4 linked regions of the Schizosaccharomyces pombe genome follow. Each later gene encodes a partner of the first gene's protein in a complex. Each region holds a gene or a part of one and is shown on either strand. Other genes may lie near its edges.

Evidence for each region.
Region 2: SPOM_SPBC16A3.14 (region 1) and mrps16 share a complex: the UniProt entries of both Schizosaccharomyces pombe proteins name them as parts of the mitochondrial small ribosomal subunit.
Region 3: SPOM_SPBC16A3.14 (region 1) and bot1 share a complex: the UniProt entries of both Schizosaccharomyces pombe proteins name them as parts of the mitochondrial small ribosomal subunit.
Region 4: SPOM_SPBC16A3.14 (region 1) and mrps12 share a complex: the UniProt entries of both Schizosaccharomyces pombe proteins name them as parts of the mitochondrial small ribosomal subunit.

The regions. Positions count from the first base shown.
Region 1 is NC_003423.3:4,269,786-4,273,539, forward strand, and holds SPOM_SPBC16A3.14 (mitochondrial ribosomal protein subunit S26), read right to left. Parts: upstream 2,248-3,754; 5' UTR 2,153-2,247; coding exon 1,346-2,152; 3' UTR 1,206-1,345; downstream 1-1,205. Other genes in the region: nda2 (tubulin alpha 1), read left to right, coding at 1-663; meu7 (alpha-amylase 4), read right to left, coding at 2,556-3,754. UniProt on the Schizosaccharomyces pombe protein: Component of the mitochondrial ribosome (mitoribosome), a dedicated translation machinery responsible for the synthesis of mitochondrial genome-encoded proteins, including at least some of the essential transmembrane subunits of the mitochondrial respiratory chain.
Region 2 is NC_003423.3:554,288-558,453, reverse strand, and holds mrps16 (mitochondrial ribosomal protein subunit S16), read right to left. Parts: upstream 2,630-4,166; 5' UTR 2,562-2,629; coding exon 2,485-2,561; exon of another isoform or gene 2,056-2,484; coding exon 1,875-2,055; intron 1,609-1,874; coding exon 1,576-1,608; 3' UTR 1,206-1,575; downstream 1-1,205. Other genes in the region: osh42 (oxysterol binding protein), read left to right, coding at 1-119. UniProt on the Schizosaccharomyces pombe protein: Component of the mitochondrial ribosome (mitoribosome), a dedicated translation machinery responsible for the synthesis of mitochondrial genome-encoded proteins, including at least some of the essential transmembrane subunits of the mitochondrial respiratory chain.
Region 3 is NC_003423.3:2,230,682-2,235,432, forward strand, and holds bot1 (mitochondrial ribosomal protein subunit S45), read right to left. Parts: upstream 2,442-4,751; 5' UTR 2,431-2,441; coding exon 1,483-2,430; 3' UTR 1,102-1,482; coding exon of another isoform or gene 925-1,101; 3' UTR 862-924; downstream 1-861. Other genes in the region: SPOM_SPBC14C8.15 (triglyceride lipase-cholesterol esterase), read left to right, coding at 1-861, 925-1,101; SAGA complex subunit Spt8, read right to left, coding at 3,402-4,751. UniProt on the Schizosaccharomyces pombe protein: Component of the mitochondrial ribosome (mitoribosome), a dedicated translation machinery responsible for the synthesis of mitochondrial genome-encoded proteins, including at least some of the essential transmembrane subunits of the mitochondrial respiratory chain.
Region 4 is NC_003424.3:2,667,067-2,670,631, reverse strand, and holds mrps12 (mitochondrial 37S ribosomal protein uS12m), read left to right. Parts: upstream 1-1,699; 5' UTR 1,700-1,809; coding exon 1,810-2,298; 3' UTR 2,299-2,551; downstream 2,552-3,565. Other genes in the region: Brix domain-containing protein Rpf1, read left to right, coding at 1-103; mrpl28 (mitochondrial 54S ribosomal protein mL40), read right to left, coding at 463-819; hxk2 (hexokinase 2), read right to left, coding at 3,449-3,565. UniProt on the Schizosaccharomyces pombe protein: Component of the mitochondrial ribosome (mitoribosome), a dedicated translation machinery responsible for the synthesis of mitochondrial genome-encoded proteins, including at least some of the essential transmembrane subunits of the mitochondrial respiratory chain.

The sequences.
Region 1 (3,754 bases):
GCTCAAGTTGTCTCTTCTATCACCGCTTCTCTTCGATTTGCTGGTAGCTTAAATGTTGACTTAAATGAGTTTCAAACTAATCTTGTGCCATACCCTCGTATTCACTTTCCTTTAGTCACTTATTCTCCTATTGTCAGTGCAGCTAAAGCATTCCATGAATCCAACAGCGTACAAGAGATTACGAATCAGTGCTTTGAGCCTTATAATCAAATGGTAAAATGTGATCCACGAACTGGCCGCTATATGGCTACTTGTCTTTTGTATCGTGGTGATGTTATCCCACGTGATGTCCAGGCTGCCGTTACTAGCATTAAATCTCGTCGCACCATCCAATTTGTTGATTGGTGCCCTACTGGTTTCAAAATCGGTATTTGCTATGAGCCACCCCAACACGTTCCTGGTAGTGGAATCGCTAAGGTAAATCGTGCTGTTTGTATGCTTTCAAATACCACCTCGATTGCTGAAGCTTGGTCTCGTCTGGACCACAAGTTTGACCTTATGTACAGCAAGCGTGCTTTTGTTCATTGGTATGTCGGTGAAGGTATGGAAGAAGGTGAATTTTCAGAAGCCAGAGAAGATTTGGCTGCCTTAGAAAGGGATTACGAAGAGGTTGGTCAAGATTCTATGGATAACGAAATGTACGAAGCTGACGAAGAGTATTAATTTATCCAATAATCGCTTTTATACGTTATTTCATTCGTTTTATAACTTGAAGATATCTTGCATCTACCCTTGTCTCTTTAATCTTTGTTTATTCAGCCCTGTGGTCAAATAACTAAAGGGTGTCTGTCTTTCTTTGAGAGTTAAAATGTTCACCCAGCGGCAAGGAGATAAATTGCTCGTCCACTTATCTCACTGATTTTTTAACTTGAACATTCTTTTTCTTTACTAGTCAATTCTCATTTAGATATCAATCTAATCCACTCTATCTTTGCAAATAAACCACCAGTAAAATTTCAATTTCTCCTTTCTGTGGTATCTTTTTTTTTTAATTTTGCATGAAAAAGAGACACTATAAACTGTAAATTACATTGTGTATTGGCGCTTTTCTAGCTTTACAAAAAAAATGTTTTTAATCTCAACCTCTAAGCAATAAATCGGTTAATTGGTTAATAAATTACTTAACTTATATGACTCGATTGCTCGGAATTAGCCTAAAATCATTTAGAATACGAGCATGAGCCAAAACAGTCTACTGTAGAAGTTTCAAGGACGAGTAGAGAAAACACAATTTTTATTAAAATTAGAATGAAATTTATAAGGTGAAAGTAGAAAAAGGCGTTTTTTTAAAATCATAACAAGATTGTGATGAGATATAATTATCTAAATTGATTGCACCTTTCTTTCATACCAAAGAATTAGTCAATCTTTCCTCAATGACAGACCAATCTATGCAATCAAACCATGTGTCGATGTATCTTGAGCGATTTAAAAGACCGTAATCTTTATAATATGCATGATTCCATAAACAAAGGTTTAAAATGGGAACATGCGCATATTTTCGAGGTCTGGCACTATAATCTGGCACACTAGAAATAAGATGGGGATCATTTGATTGCCATCTAGTCCAAAGATACGGAGAACCTGCTTGAAAAGTTCTCAGTAAGTTTAATCTATTATAATCATCAATTACAATCCAAAGCCAACATGCTCCAAAACTATTTGAGGCAAGCTCATGAATTTTAGAAAGTAAATTTTCTTTAGAACCAAAGTTTTCATTGACTGCTTTATTGATAGCGGCATTAGCTTCATATTTTGAGTTTTTTTTGGCATCTGCAGCTCTTTTTCCGATCAAGCTTTGAAAAAAGAAATGATTGTTGTAAGCTTGACTTGCAAACTGGAATGTGGCTGCATGCTCAGGCAAAGCGGCTGTTTGAAAGATAATGTTAAACACAGATGAATCCTCAAGTTCTGTTCCCTTCACTCGATCATTTAATTCTTTTACTACTTGACGTTGATGCTGGTCCCAGGCAATGTCAAGAGCTTCAGGACTGAAAAGTGGTAGCAAATTTCTTTGTGAAAGATTAGGAACTGTGTGGTAATTGTAGCAATAGTTTACTCGATGCACATTGTCTGTAACTGAACTACATCGTTTCAGAAGGTGAGTTATCGGTGAAAGCGCAAGCCCTTTTCGTAGACCTGTGTTGAGCATAAGCAAATTATCTGAATATTAGGTATAACTTGCTGAAATACCTATATAAACCAACAACGAAGTATTTAAGGGAACTGGACGTGTTTGGGTATCGCAGCTCGCCTTGTGTCAAATACAAGTTAGCCACACCACCGCAATTATGAATACGTTTGGACGGTTTGCGTCGGATATCATTATGGGAGTTTAAATTTTTTTGGCTAAAGCTTTACTTGAGTACTTTGTAATTTAAAGCCAAAAATTAAAATGGATTTACCCGTCTATTATTTATATTGAGGTGACTTATCGTTCATGAACTTCAGTACAGAGCCCTATGGGTCTGTAAACTAAGTCATCATACTTTATATGAAAAAGGTTTATGTAAAATAAAAAATCTGTATATTATTAGATTTCAAGGAACGTATACCTACAAAATCATTAACAAAGATAATAAAAGAGCGGCGAGGACATTGGTAAATCCTCGATTTTGCTCTGGTGCCTTTGATGTTTGGGCTTCTTCAACGTTAATGGAGAGAGAACCTTCACTGTTATAATCTTCAGTAAGCTGAATTGGAGATGGGCACAATCCCATCTCATAAGCCGATTCCTCTGGGTACAAGATCATGGGTTCACCGTTGCGTACCATAAATACCTGTCGATTATCTTGTACTGGAACGGACTTGCAAGATAATACGTCCATCCACTTGTGCTCTTCTGCCGAAACAGTATAATGGAAATGAATGTAATATGAACCTAAGTTGTTGAGTACGGTTATTACTTTGCCACGTCGTAAAAGCAATATTCTTTTATCAACGATGCTAATATCCGACTGCATATTTAAGAAAGCTTCTCCGTCTTTGCTTTCAATCATAGCTTTGCGGAAACGATTGATTGTAGACGTGAACTTATAGTAAGGATTTCTTTTTGGGAAACCTTTCTCCCAAATTGCAGGTCGATTATAAGGAACCTCTTCACCGCGCATGGCAAGTTCTTGGCCGTTGTACATCATAGGAATACCATCTCCCATAAGAACAAAAGCAATTGCATTCTTTAAGGTGGCTGGATCACTAGAAATTGAAGCCATTCTAGGAAGGTCTTTGTTCTCAACGAAGTTTCCTAACAATAGGGGATTGACACACAAACCGCGCATGTCAGTCATTTTGTCGGCAAGATCAACAATTCCCTCTGGATTATTCATCAAAAATGCTTTTACAGCAGATTCTCTAACAGGGAAGTTACTCAACCCTTCCAAGTCGTTTTGCCAATCACAAACTTTTAAAGAGTCGGAAGATTTCAAGTCACCCATGCAAAACACTCCAGCAGCTTTGCAAAAATCTGGCCAGTACTTTCTATATTTGTCACCCATAGCATCGAAACGAATACCATCAATTTGGAAAGTTTCTACAAATGTTTGAATATAGTCCTCGAGAGCCCCTTTAGCACTAGGACGCTCATGAACTGAATGGTCTTCATGGCAAGAGCAGTGTTCCTCGTGCTTCCAAGGCTTGTGATCGGGCTTGGTTCCATTGTGGGGAACTGGACGAGGGAACTTACCGTGATGGCAGTGTTCCTCGTGCTTCCAGGGTTTATGGTCAGGCTTGGTTACATTGTGAGGAACTGGACGAA
Region 2 (4,166 bases), 3.7 Mb from region 1:
CCAGGAATGCTTTAGCCCAAGCTGTTTTAGAAGTTATTGAACCAGGCTTCTGGATTTACATTGGTGACACTCATCCTTCATTGCCAGCAGGAGAACAACCTGTCAAACGGATGGAATAAATTTGTGTTACTTATATTTTTGTTTCTTAAATTTATGTGTGCTTTTCGGGCTGCTATAGTTTTCCGTCCTTAACAGTGTCCTTTTTTCTACTTTTGGGAGGATTGGCCCAAAAGCTCTCTTGGTTGTGCAATCAGGGCTTAAAATAATGCTTGAAAGTATATAGGTATCTTTCGCTCTTTAAACGTTCAACTGAAGTTTTACGATCAACGATTTTACTAAAGGTTCTTTTAACGGTTGGCTTTTAGTACGAAATCAGCACTTTTCATTTAGATTATCTATGCGGTATACTAGTTTATTACTTATATGTCGGTTACACATATGCATGTCAGGGAAAAAGCATTGCAATTTGATCTATACTCATTTCGAGATTTGGTAGTAGATTTTTTTTTTTCATTAAGTGATTTCTCGCTTTCTTTTTCAAGTTTATTTTTACATACTATTTGGTTTGTGATGTTTAGCTTGTATTTAATGCATTAATTGAAAATTACACTGTTCGGTGCATGAATAAATGTAGTGGTGTAGAGTTGGACTGGTTGATGAAATATGGTAATAATACCAAAGTAAATTGCTTCTGGTACAGTTAATAAATTAGCTTATAAGGCTAGTTCACCATTTATAATATTTTGTTACAAACGATTAAGTTGTTAATATTCATTGTTGAACGATTTTAAATCCTTTGAGACAAGTCTTTTATAAATTCAACGGAAGTACAGGAATGATTTGTTAGAATTGTACAACTATTGCAATTGGCTATTAATGAACGTGTTCAGTTCCAATTAAACGAATGAGGAAATCAGGAAAGCAACAAAGCGCATTGCCGTTTCCGAACGGAAAGTCCAAAAATCTAAGCAATAATAGATACACCGATATTAACCTAAATATTTGAAATGAAGCTGTTAATTTGTTTCTAAAAAAATAAGGGTATAACATCAGTAAACGAAATGAAGTTTCAGTATAAAGTGAAGATCCATTTTAACCATAAACGCAAAAGCTAAAAATTACAAAGGCAAAATATTGGTACCAAGATTTCTCATTACCAAACAATTTTAAGTACAAAGCAACAAGTAATTACAAATGGATAGCATCAAATTATGAGCGCTTTCAACTAGCGCATAACCTCAGATAGATAGACACTTTAAAAAATTTAGAAATTAAGATATCACTACGCTAACGATAATGTGGAGAAGGAATTAAAAAAAAAAAGGTGATATTGTAATAAAAAGAATCGTAAAGAAAACAAATATCGCACTCAGCCAAAAAACGTGGTTTTAAAAAAACAGTACGGAAGGGTAAAATCGGTCAAAAATTATGAAATTTAGTTGAGAGAGGTAATTAGCGTGATCACAGAGATAAAGTGTAAAAAAAAATAAAAAATGTGTTAAAGATATCTAGACATTGTGAAGTGGTCGTAAAAAAGAAATGTCATGACTTGAGCAATAACGATTATAGTGAGTTTCAAGAAACGGGTTTTTTAGGAAGCAACTGGAACTAAAAGTGAAAAAAGTAACGTTAGTAAGAATTGATAGATTGATAGAAAGAAGTAAAACAAGTAAATTAGTAGCCAAATCGTAACGAAAACAGGGATGAGATCCTACACTCCATTTCGGAAAGCCGGGCAGTTAGGGAACATGAGAAAAATCACCCGAGCGGTATATCGCAAGCGGGTCGAAAATTTTAGTCAAAAAAGAGAGTTGAAAGAAAGTTTAACGAATTTGGACTAGTCATAAAAATAGATAAAGAGAGCTTGGGCATACCTTTTCAGCTAAAGAGCGGACGGTGTCGGATGGTTGTGCTCCTACACTTATCCAATATTTAAAACGTTCAACGTTGAGCTGGATATCTTTTATACGAGGAATGGAGTCCTGAGAATCAATCTTCTTAGGGATGGGATCAAAAGTGCCGATGGTTTCGATAGGTTTGGCTTGAGGTGCTTTCCTATATTGAGTTAACAAAGTCGAACCAAAAGACAGGAATGGATGAAGGAGAAAAAAAAGGATGTACAGGTGATATGTAAACAGTTAATAGAGGCCAAGGGGGCCAAACCACAATAAATAGTCAATTAATAAGAAAAATTGTGGTTGGTGTCCTTGGCATTTTGAATACTATGTAGAAAGACTAGATTAAATAGATGAGAGCATCCAGGAATACCTGAAAACTAAAGCTTCTAAAAAAGATCGCAATTTAGAGCCAAAGGAACCGTCAAAAAAAAGCAGTCTTTTAGCATTTTATCTTCCATTCTTTCATAACCCACATCAAGCCATCTCCCTTACTAAATCCTGTACAAAAACTTTCCCCTTTACGTGAACCGCTACAAGTGTTGTAAAACACGAAACAACCGTCTAGGTATGTTTTCATCCTACTTACCATGCATTCGCAACTACGATATGGTAAAAAGGTCTATTTCTGACGCCATGACGCGCCAAACGAATTTTTACTACCATTGAGAAGAGCCGGTTTTCAACGAGTCCTACAAATCCCGTCTTTCCCACTTGGTGGTAGGAGTATGGTTAAGAGCAACTTGAGTAAACACGAAGACAATGCAGGTATCAAGGATGGAAAGCAGATGGACGTATCGTATTGTGCACTCCGTTGTTTATAAAATAGCGTTGTGCCTTGCTTTTCGTTCATACTTACAAACAAAACATAATTTCAAAAGATCATTTCAAACGTTTTCTGGGATAGAAATTACGTTCTTTTCCTTCCATTTATCTTTCTACTTCCTGCTGACTCTATTTCTCTTTATAAGCAGTGTGAATTGATCATATTCACTACCCCCGGAGTGAGATACAGCACGAATTACGGTAACACGAATACTACAAAGCGAGCATTCTCCACGTTGTTCAAGGTATGCTTTGCTTGTATCGAGTTTGCTAAACAGGAATACTGTAAGCGATTGTAGAATGCGTATACGAGATACCATAAACGAACGTTACTCATGTAATGCGTAGTTTGCCAACCTTCTTTTCACCACGCAATCCTTATAACGTAATGTTAATCGCTATAGACATTCCTTAGCTTAAGCGGCTTCGTCTACTTTTAGCTTTTTCCTCCCTCCCATAAATTCTACTTAGCGACAGCAAAACATAACTTAAGACTCGCGTAGATTGCGCATCCCTGTTGAATATTTAACTCCATCCGTTCTTGAAAATTTCTAGTGATCAAGAAAGCTATTGATTGAATCTTAGAGGGTTTTTGTTGCTTTCGTACGAATCGTTGTTTGGGGAGTTCGGTTAATTGGTATTTTGAGATTTCCCAACACCTAGGCTTCTTTTAGTTAGCATTTTGATCTTGTTCTGAATTGCCCATTCTTTTGGTGTTGTTACGAATTGCTGGATCCACTGACATTGATTTTTGCCATCGTACTCCCGGTTACTGTCAAGTCAGTGTGTTGTGTCGACGGATTCAAGCAAAATAGGAACATCGGATTGAAACGTTTCTTTGGACATCGCTTTGTGGATGAACGGTGCTAGGTTTTAGGCTAGTAGCAGTTTTAAGACTCATTACATATCGGAACACCTGAAGATTTGACGTTTACATCCTGCCTTGCGTCAGTTTCTACTCCTTTCTTCTCCGTCATCATATAATTGCTGTCAATTCCTTATAACGCAGCTTGGGGGCCAATTTTTACTATATTCCCCTTTATATATTTAGTTTTTATAAGTTTTTCTTCTTTCATTGTTTATCCTGTCAAGCTTGTTCATCTTGTCTCGTTTACTTGGTTAGTTCGTGAACGAGTGCGTTCTTGGGGTCGCTTACCTTGAAGATTCCTGTTCAACCCGGTTTCATAATAATTCAACTTGAAAGAGGAAAAACCTAATTTTTTGTTGTTTTATACTTTCCTTCGCTCAAAGACAACTACTATAGGCGTTTTCTTGGGTTCCAATTTTATTTGCTTTCCTACTACAATTTCCACCCATTCTATCTTTCCTTTAGTTTTCGCTTCCTCTCCTTTTTTGAAATAATCCCGCTTTTCTTCTAATTTCTCGTTTATTAAACGGTGTATTGTTAAATTTTTTTTTGCGGTTAGCGTTTCATCAACAAGAAGT
Region 3 (4,751 bases), 2.0 Mb from region 1:
AATTATCTCCCACCTGTATTATTTATTCATGGGCTAATGATGAACTCTGAAAGTTGGGTCTGCAACTTGAAAAAGGAAGATGCCATTCCATTTGCTCTTGTGGAACAAGGATACGATGTTTGGCTTGGAAACTTACGAGGAAACAAATATAGTATAAAGAATATCAAATTCAGCTCTCAAAATCCAAAGTTTTGGGATTTCAGTCTTGATAGTATCGCTATTTTTGACATACCTTCCATTGTTAAATATATACTGTCCGTTAACAGTTTTGATTCTATAAGCCTTGTTGGATTTTCTCAGGGCGCTATATTAGCATTTGCAGCGCTGTCTATTGATACTGAACTTCGCAATTCCGTACGAGCATTTATTGCTCTAGCTCCTGCAATTGCTCCTAAAAAGTATAGTGGTAGAACCGTTAAATCTATTATTCACGCTAATAGCCAACTTCTTTACCTAATGTTCGGTCGAAATTCCATGCTTGGTTCTGCTGTGTTTTGGCAAGCAGTTTTATATCCGCCAGTTTTTGCAAAAATTGTTGATCTGTTTCTTCGCTTTTTTCTGAGCTGGACCGGAAAAAATATTTCCGAAACTCAGAAAATCGTTGCATACTCCCATCTATATTCCTTTACTTCTGTCAAATGCTTTGTACATTGGGCTCAAATTACGCGTCGCAAAGTATTACAAATGTACGATGACAGTCCAGGATTTAAGCCAAGTTACTATACAAATCTTAACCGAATTGCTCGCTATCCGATTGAAAATATACGTCTACCTATTACTTTAGTTTATGGCAGTAACGATAACATGGTGGACATTGAAACACTCAAGACCCAACTTCCACCATTATCTCAATGCATTCAGGTATGTTCTGAAACAGTTGTAGCTTCATTTACTTAAGTGGAAACTAACAAGTTAAAATTAAAGATTCCTAACTATGAGCATCTCGACATCATCATGGGAGATACGAAAAAGGACATAGTAATTCAGCAAGTCGTAGAACAACTAAATCATGTCATTGCTGGAGATTACTTTGAAAGCATAAAAGAAGAATTTGGACTTGACACAGAATTGGTTGACGGCGTTATGAACCATACAATATAGTGTTCATCGCTTCTGAAACTGGCACAATGTATATTTAATATGTTAGATAAGTTTCTGTTCTAAATCAAACTGAAGCACAGTGTTGTATAGACTGTTTCATCGTATGTGCAACCCTTCTTATCAGTATTTGTATTAAACGGCTAAAAAAAGTTTCTTTGTTTAATTTGAAAAAGTCAATATGGCAACGAAAGCAAAAAAAACTATGCAATTTTTATATGTACAAATAACTTTTAGATAATGCAACAACTAGAAGAATTTGCTGAGTGAATTTGTAACAATTCAAGATTTTATTTCGCAAAAGTTTGAAATGGATTGTACTGCCGCTAATGCATGCTAAGGGGGTAAATTTTCTTTCAAAAACGGGAAATAAATGCTTGATTTTCAGGTAGTAGATTTTTTTCTCTTAACATAAATATCCCCGCCGGTATCCCTTCTATACACATTACCAGTAGAAAGATCAATGAGCCTAAAAACACGCTTCCCAACTTCGCTGGGGCTTGAAGAAATTAGCTCTTCATCTTCATTCAAATCTTTGTGCTCATCAGATGTTTTGTGGAAGTGAGTAGCGTTTTGTCTCATGTTTAATTCCTCAATCGAAGGCCACTTCAGGATTTTAGCAGCCTCTTGAGGTGTAAACGTTTCTCCCTCAGGCAAACTCTTCCAAAGGGATACTGGATTGGAACGCAAAGGAATATCGTTTCCGTCATTAAACTGCATCATCTCAGGTTTAGTACATGCGTTCAGCATTTTCTCCATAACTTCATTATAACTATGAAGAATCGGCTTCTTTTTTTCTTCGAATTCATCATTTATTCTTCTCAACTTTATAAGAGCTTCAATCCTTTGTGGAGATGTGTTGAATTTTCGAGCAAGCACTTCTATACTTGCACCCTGCAAGTATTCATCGGTAATTTTCATACGCAAAGAATGAGATATAGGCCTAGGAGGCTTAAAAAAAGGGTTTAAAGGGAAGGGCTGATTTGTATTAGGTCCCAAGCCTACATTACCAGATGATGAGGACTTTGCTTTCTGTACTTCGGGAGACATTAACCATTGAGCCATCATTAAACGTTGTTTATGACGAAGTGTATTCTTAGAAACTGAAGAAGCAACATCATTTGGGGGTGTTACAGATCTTGAGTTGCAAGCAACGTACTTTGAATCAATGTTCTTTTGAGTGTGTTTATTTAAATCAATATTTCCCCCATTGCTTAAAAATGCTCCAGTACTAAAGAATTGTTTCTTGACTGCTGAGGTATAAGTTTTATTTTGAGATAAATTAAAAGCCGTTTTAAGCCCTAACTGTGAGAATTCCACTGAATTCCTCATTTAGGTGCGTTGGAAAGGTTTCTTGTGTCACTCCCCAAAAGTTAGTAACACGCCCTAATTCTATTCATCAAGATAGATATAGAAAATAAACTTCAAAAAACCAATAATTAATGAGACGATTTAGGAAAACTCAAATTTAACCTCCGGCGGTCAAGCAATCTAGCTCCATTATAAGATCCGATTAACATACAGACGCTTGATTTATTTATGAGACAATAACTCTCAGTATGCAATAAAGTAAGATTTTGTTTATTCTATAGAATGTTTGAGAGTCAGTTCCAATATTAGGATACGAACAGTTATACACATCAATACTTAAAAAATAAATACACAATTTAAGTCATAATTTCTACAGAATCAAACGAAAAAAATTCATTAAATACGGTCATTGCTTCTTTAGACAAGAGTTTCGCATGTCCTTGATATTTTTGTTTGGCAATTGACACATCAACAAATAATAAAGCGGATGGATGGCATTAAATTGATTAGGAAATTCCAAATTGAAAATTAAAGTAGAGGAAAGTTTTAGAATACATGTTATACAAACAAAACGATTTGTGTATCATATTTGTCAGAAAGTTCATAACCAACAATCTCAGCTTAATACCTAAGTTTATTATATTCGGCAAAAAAGGGGAAATAGGTTTAAGGAAACATTTATAAACTTACCTCAAATTATTTAGAGAGTAACCAAAAACCCAAAAAGCAATCAACTAATGAAGAGTGCATGGGCTTAACAATTATTCTAAAAACTTTAACTGAGATGTTTATTTCAAATGTTGAAAGGGAGACAATTCAAAAAGATTTTTAAAGTTAAACGACAATAGGCATATAATTGACCCTACTAAGGCAAAATCCAAAGTGCCTTTCAAAGACCATTTTGTATTTGACCGACTAAATCGTAACCCACTTCCTTTCAGTCTATTATCATAATGTACATTATTGCGAATATGTGTTTTAGAGAAAGCATTTTATGAAGTCATTATTTGGTATCCGAGGAACACTTCAGTAGTAGTTCCTTGCCATCCTCGATTTCCACTAGCTGAAAACATGAATTGACAAGAAGTGTCTACATAAAGCGAACTGACAAGACCTCCATGATGACCTGGAATAATTAAGAACCCTATGCCGGCCTTGCTTTGAAGATCATAAAGGCGGATATTATCAAAGGAGGAAATTACAAGGTGACGGCCATTCGGCATCGAATAGACATTTGAAACAGGACCCGAATCGAGAGGCATTTTTAAAGAGCGAACAGGCTCCTTGCCAGAGTGAATGTTATATTCTTCGACGATTCCATTTCGGCGGCCAATATATATATTATTTCCATCCGGACTCCAACATGCAGACATAGCCCATGGTGGTACACCCTTGGGGACGGGGTATTTGAGAACAGAATCGACCATGCGATGGTCCCATACATTCATAACTCCATCTATAGACGTCGTTAAGAAAATATTGGACTCTTCGGATGAAGATTCGGAAGGAGCTTTTATGTTGTCATTGTTAGTAGTAGATTCGGTTTGAGAGGGTTTTTCTGTCTCGTTCTCCTCATTTGCTTGAACAGATTTAGTTTCTTCTTCAATGGCTTTTTCCACCTCTTCATCAAACAGTGCATCGTAAGAAGAGGAAGACGCAGGTGTACCGAACAAACTACGCATGTCGTCCGATTCAGAACCCCAAGGATTTACAGCGCCTGATGGACGATAAACTATATTCGAAATTTGACCACTCTCACAATTGTATGTAGATATTGCATCACCAGTGTTAAGGTCCCAGTAATAAACCATTTTGTCCCAGCTTCCACTCAATACTTTTTTCTCGGAACCATGTAATGCTAAACACGAAACAGGAGCCGTATGCTTTTTTAAAGAAGTAACGGGATAACCCTCTTGATGTCTTGTAGAGTACAGTATAATATCTCCATTATTGACGCCCGAAAGAACCCAAAGACCTCTGGAATGAGCTGCAAGGCTATATACCGAAGATGGTTTATTTCCATCGTAAGCATTCTCCCAGTAGTTGAGTAATATTCCAGCCTTCGTTACTGTATCCACAAAGGGATGTCTCTGTGCAACAGTCAGGGAGAGATCACCATTAATGCTAGGAAAAAAATCATACTTCCTTATATATCCGTCTTCCCCACCAGTGAAAAGCCATTTTAAATCCGATGTGAAAGCAAATGCGTTTATGCTGGTAGCCATAGGGATTGCCAGGGTAGGCACCACATCATAAAAGCTGGCCGTTGAAGCCTTTTGTTTTAATTTCTCAAGTGGATTTTCCTTTGGTGTTTCTTCAGTTTCCTTCTTTTCAGAGGTTTG
Region 4 (3,565 bases), on another chromosome or scaffold:
TCTTCGTATGGTTCAAAAAGGAGTATGGGATAGGAAAGAAGGGGAGGTTTTCTTCGAGAGCAATGCCGGTGAAGAATCAGATAGACGTAAATTCTGGCTTTAAAGACATTTTGTCTCATCTGCGACACGTTGTAAAAAGAAAACAGTGTTTGGGTCATATTTTATTGTTTTCGAGGTAGGGTTTGGGTTTGGTAACAATTCTAAATTTTTGGTTAAAAAAGAAAGCATGGCCTTTCATTTTGTATCATTCGTTTACGGTGAAATTGGGAATGAATAATATGATACATGTAGACTAGAAACTAGGAGACATAATTCTTTAATTCAATTATTGGTTTATTTAAAAATCCTAATTAGATTATACTTGCTCGTAATTAGTGATACATTTTTTTATATACTTGAACTTGTCTATAACACTTTCGAGCACTACCGAAGATATTAATTATACTCATAAAAGGCGCTCGCCTATTTAGAAAGCCGTGGTGGTGTGTCCGTAGGAGTCCTCGTTTCTACGGGGAACCTCCTGTTAATTGAATCGCTCATTGCGGCTTTATATAATGTTTCACTCGTATGCTTCAGTTCCTCGCAAGCAATTTTCATTGCAGAGAATTGGTTTTTTAGAAGATTCTCTCTTTGTTTTTCTTGTCGATATTCGTGTATACGCCAAGCGCGATTAATAACTTCGTGTTTTTCCCACATGTCTGGATTCATTTTCAAAGACCTGACTTTTTTATTTCCGTAAAGAGCTTTTCTAACCAAATCGATTGACTCACTATGATTAGAAGGACCAGATTGGTGCTTTCCCTTTGAGGCCTTAGCCATTAATTGTAACGTAGAACGCATCTGCCAAAAAACTTTTCAACACAAACTAAAGTACTCCTTGAATTTTTTCACGTTGATAGAAAAAAATTTAATTTTCAAAAGTATTAACATAAAACCTTCCTTTAAAAGCTAAAAAACCTGAGTAGAGAAAAATGCGGTAGTAGTAAACGTGTTCAGTGGTATGAAGCTAATTAAGAGAGTAAGTCGTGATACACTAGGAAAAGCCACCAGTACGATATTTCAAAAAAAGAAGTGTTTCATCAAATCCCCTTCAATTTCACACACTGATAAAAAAAATATAGATTATAATTCGGAGTTCATTTAATTGTTTCTGAATTTTCAGTAGCTAAGCCAAACAAAGCATATGCATTTATGGAGATATGTAACCAAACGAAGACATTTAACAAGTAGAAAATATTAAGTTTTAAGTCAAAGCTTTATATGGAGTAGGCCTGATGCTCAATTTTTCTGCTAAGTTTCATGTAAGTAGTCAAACACATTGATAAATCCATATCAGTGTTTAAAGTTTTAATGAATGGATAAGTTATTGTAATAAATACTATCATCAACTGAAAATGGCATGGCAAAACGAAGCTTAAACCTCAATACAATCTACTTCCAGTACGTTTTTCAGTAGAAGTCATGAATTAAGTTGATTTTTTCAGCTTAACACTGTACTGTAAATTTGTCGATTAGCATACCTACATTCTGCATCTGTTTTAGACTAGTCCATTAAAGTTCAATTCCTAGAGGAAAAAATATTTAATACGCTAGTTATACCCAAAAATGTTTGTCAAAATATAAAAGAATAAATTTTTGTATCCCATCGAATAATATGAATGCTGCGAGATATTCTATTCCAAGGCAATATACATACACTAACACCAAACCAGCGACGTTCGGGTACAAACTTCGGAATTCCTTGCTCAAGCATCTATTATAGTGATTTTTGAGATTTTATACAGCTCAAATATTAAATTTCCCCAAATAATGATCCGTTTTGCTCAATATGCTCGATATCCGGTAATTTCAAGGTTGATGAAGCCAACAGTTATTTCACCATTTCAGGCTCAAGCGTTTTCTAGCTCTTCAGTTATGTTAAAGACATTAAATCAAACGATAAGAAATAAAGAGAAACGTCCTGAAAAAACAAATAAGCAATCTGTTGCTTTAGAGGGAAGTCCGTTTCGACGGGGTGTGTGCACGAGGGTCTTTACAGTAAAACCCAAAAAACCTAATTCGGCAGTAAGAAAGGTTGCCCGTGTACGCCTTTCAACCGGCCGTTCTGTTACTGCTTACATTCCAGGTATCGGTCATAATGCACAGGAGCATGCTGTGGTATTGTTAAGAGGCGGCAGAGCACAGGATTGTCCAGGAGTCCAATATCATGTTGTTCGGGGTGTCTATGACATTGCTGGTGTAGCGGGACGTGTCACATCCCGAAGCAAGTATGGAGTAAAAAAACCGAAAGCAGCCTAAACTTCATGACCTCAAAGACTTTCTTTTTCGAAAACCATGATATTCAGAAACGTTATCTTTATAATTATTCCACCTCCTCTTTTGATATCGATTCACAAGGACCTTATTAAAATGACTGAAACAAAAATTTAAATGAGAAAAAAGTTGAGTCAACCCATTTGTCATTTCTCGCAACCTTGCTTCTTGTTGCAACTATACATATTCAATAATCATTTACTCTTGCATGTTTAATAAGCAATTTTTTAGTTGAACTACATCCCCTTTAAACATACAATCATCAAAAAAAGGTAAAAAAGATTGTGTAATTAGGCAATTTCCAGTTATCTAAAAAATTAGCAAATAGATAATCCTTTTGGTTAAAATTTAACCAAATCTATCTAAACAATGATTTATTAAAATGAGGAGGATTTTCTTTTGAGAAATCCTTTTGGAAAGTTTTCTACTTTTTTGATATAAGCTCTTTAAATAAATTTTAAACTTGAGACGCTTTCAATTTTTAATTTGTTCAATTTGGTTTTACTACCGTGCTATTTAATTTTTAACTCTTGAATAAAGTATAAAAAACACCTTTTGGGTGTTGGAAAACGCTTTCCGGTTCTTATTTATATAGTATGCAGTATTGCTAGCACAACTTCACCGTTCAACGTTGCAGAAAAATTTACTAAACGATGAGAAAAATATTTTTTAACAAATCTTGGTTAATTGGATTTCTTGAAAGAAAAAGAAGATTTTATCTTGAACCCGAATAATTCATAAATTTGAGATAATAGGGTATGATGAATCTTATTTTTTACAAACTCAGATTAAAAAAAATCAAATTTCTTTTTGTTAGAATCAATTTACACACACATCTTTGAGATGTCCTGTAATGTTTGTAAATTCCGTACTCTTTTTTGGAATGTTAACAAAATCGTAACAAATTTAATAACAATACACAACCACAATTTTGTTTTAAAGAGACATATAACATCAATCACAACATGCTTTTTAATTCATCTGATATTCAATCTTCATACTATTAACTAATTCCAGGAAATAAATTCACTTTCAAAAAAAACATCTTAACTAAAAGCTGTTAAAAAGCAATTTCATATTTACATGCTCATTTCTACGTACAATTCAAAAAAAGCTAACAGACATCTAACATGATTTAGGCCAAGCCTTTCTTTTCCTTAACAGCTTGGAGGGCGCAAAGAGCGGCACCAATACCACTGCCATCCTTGGCAATACCAATGGAAATCAATTTTTCGTTATCACCGATAAGCTC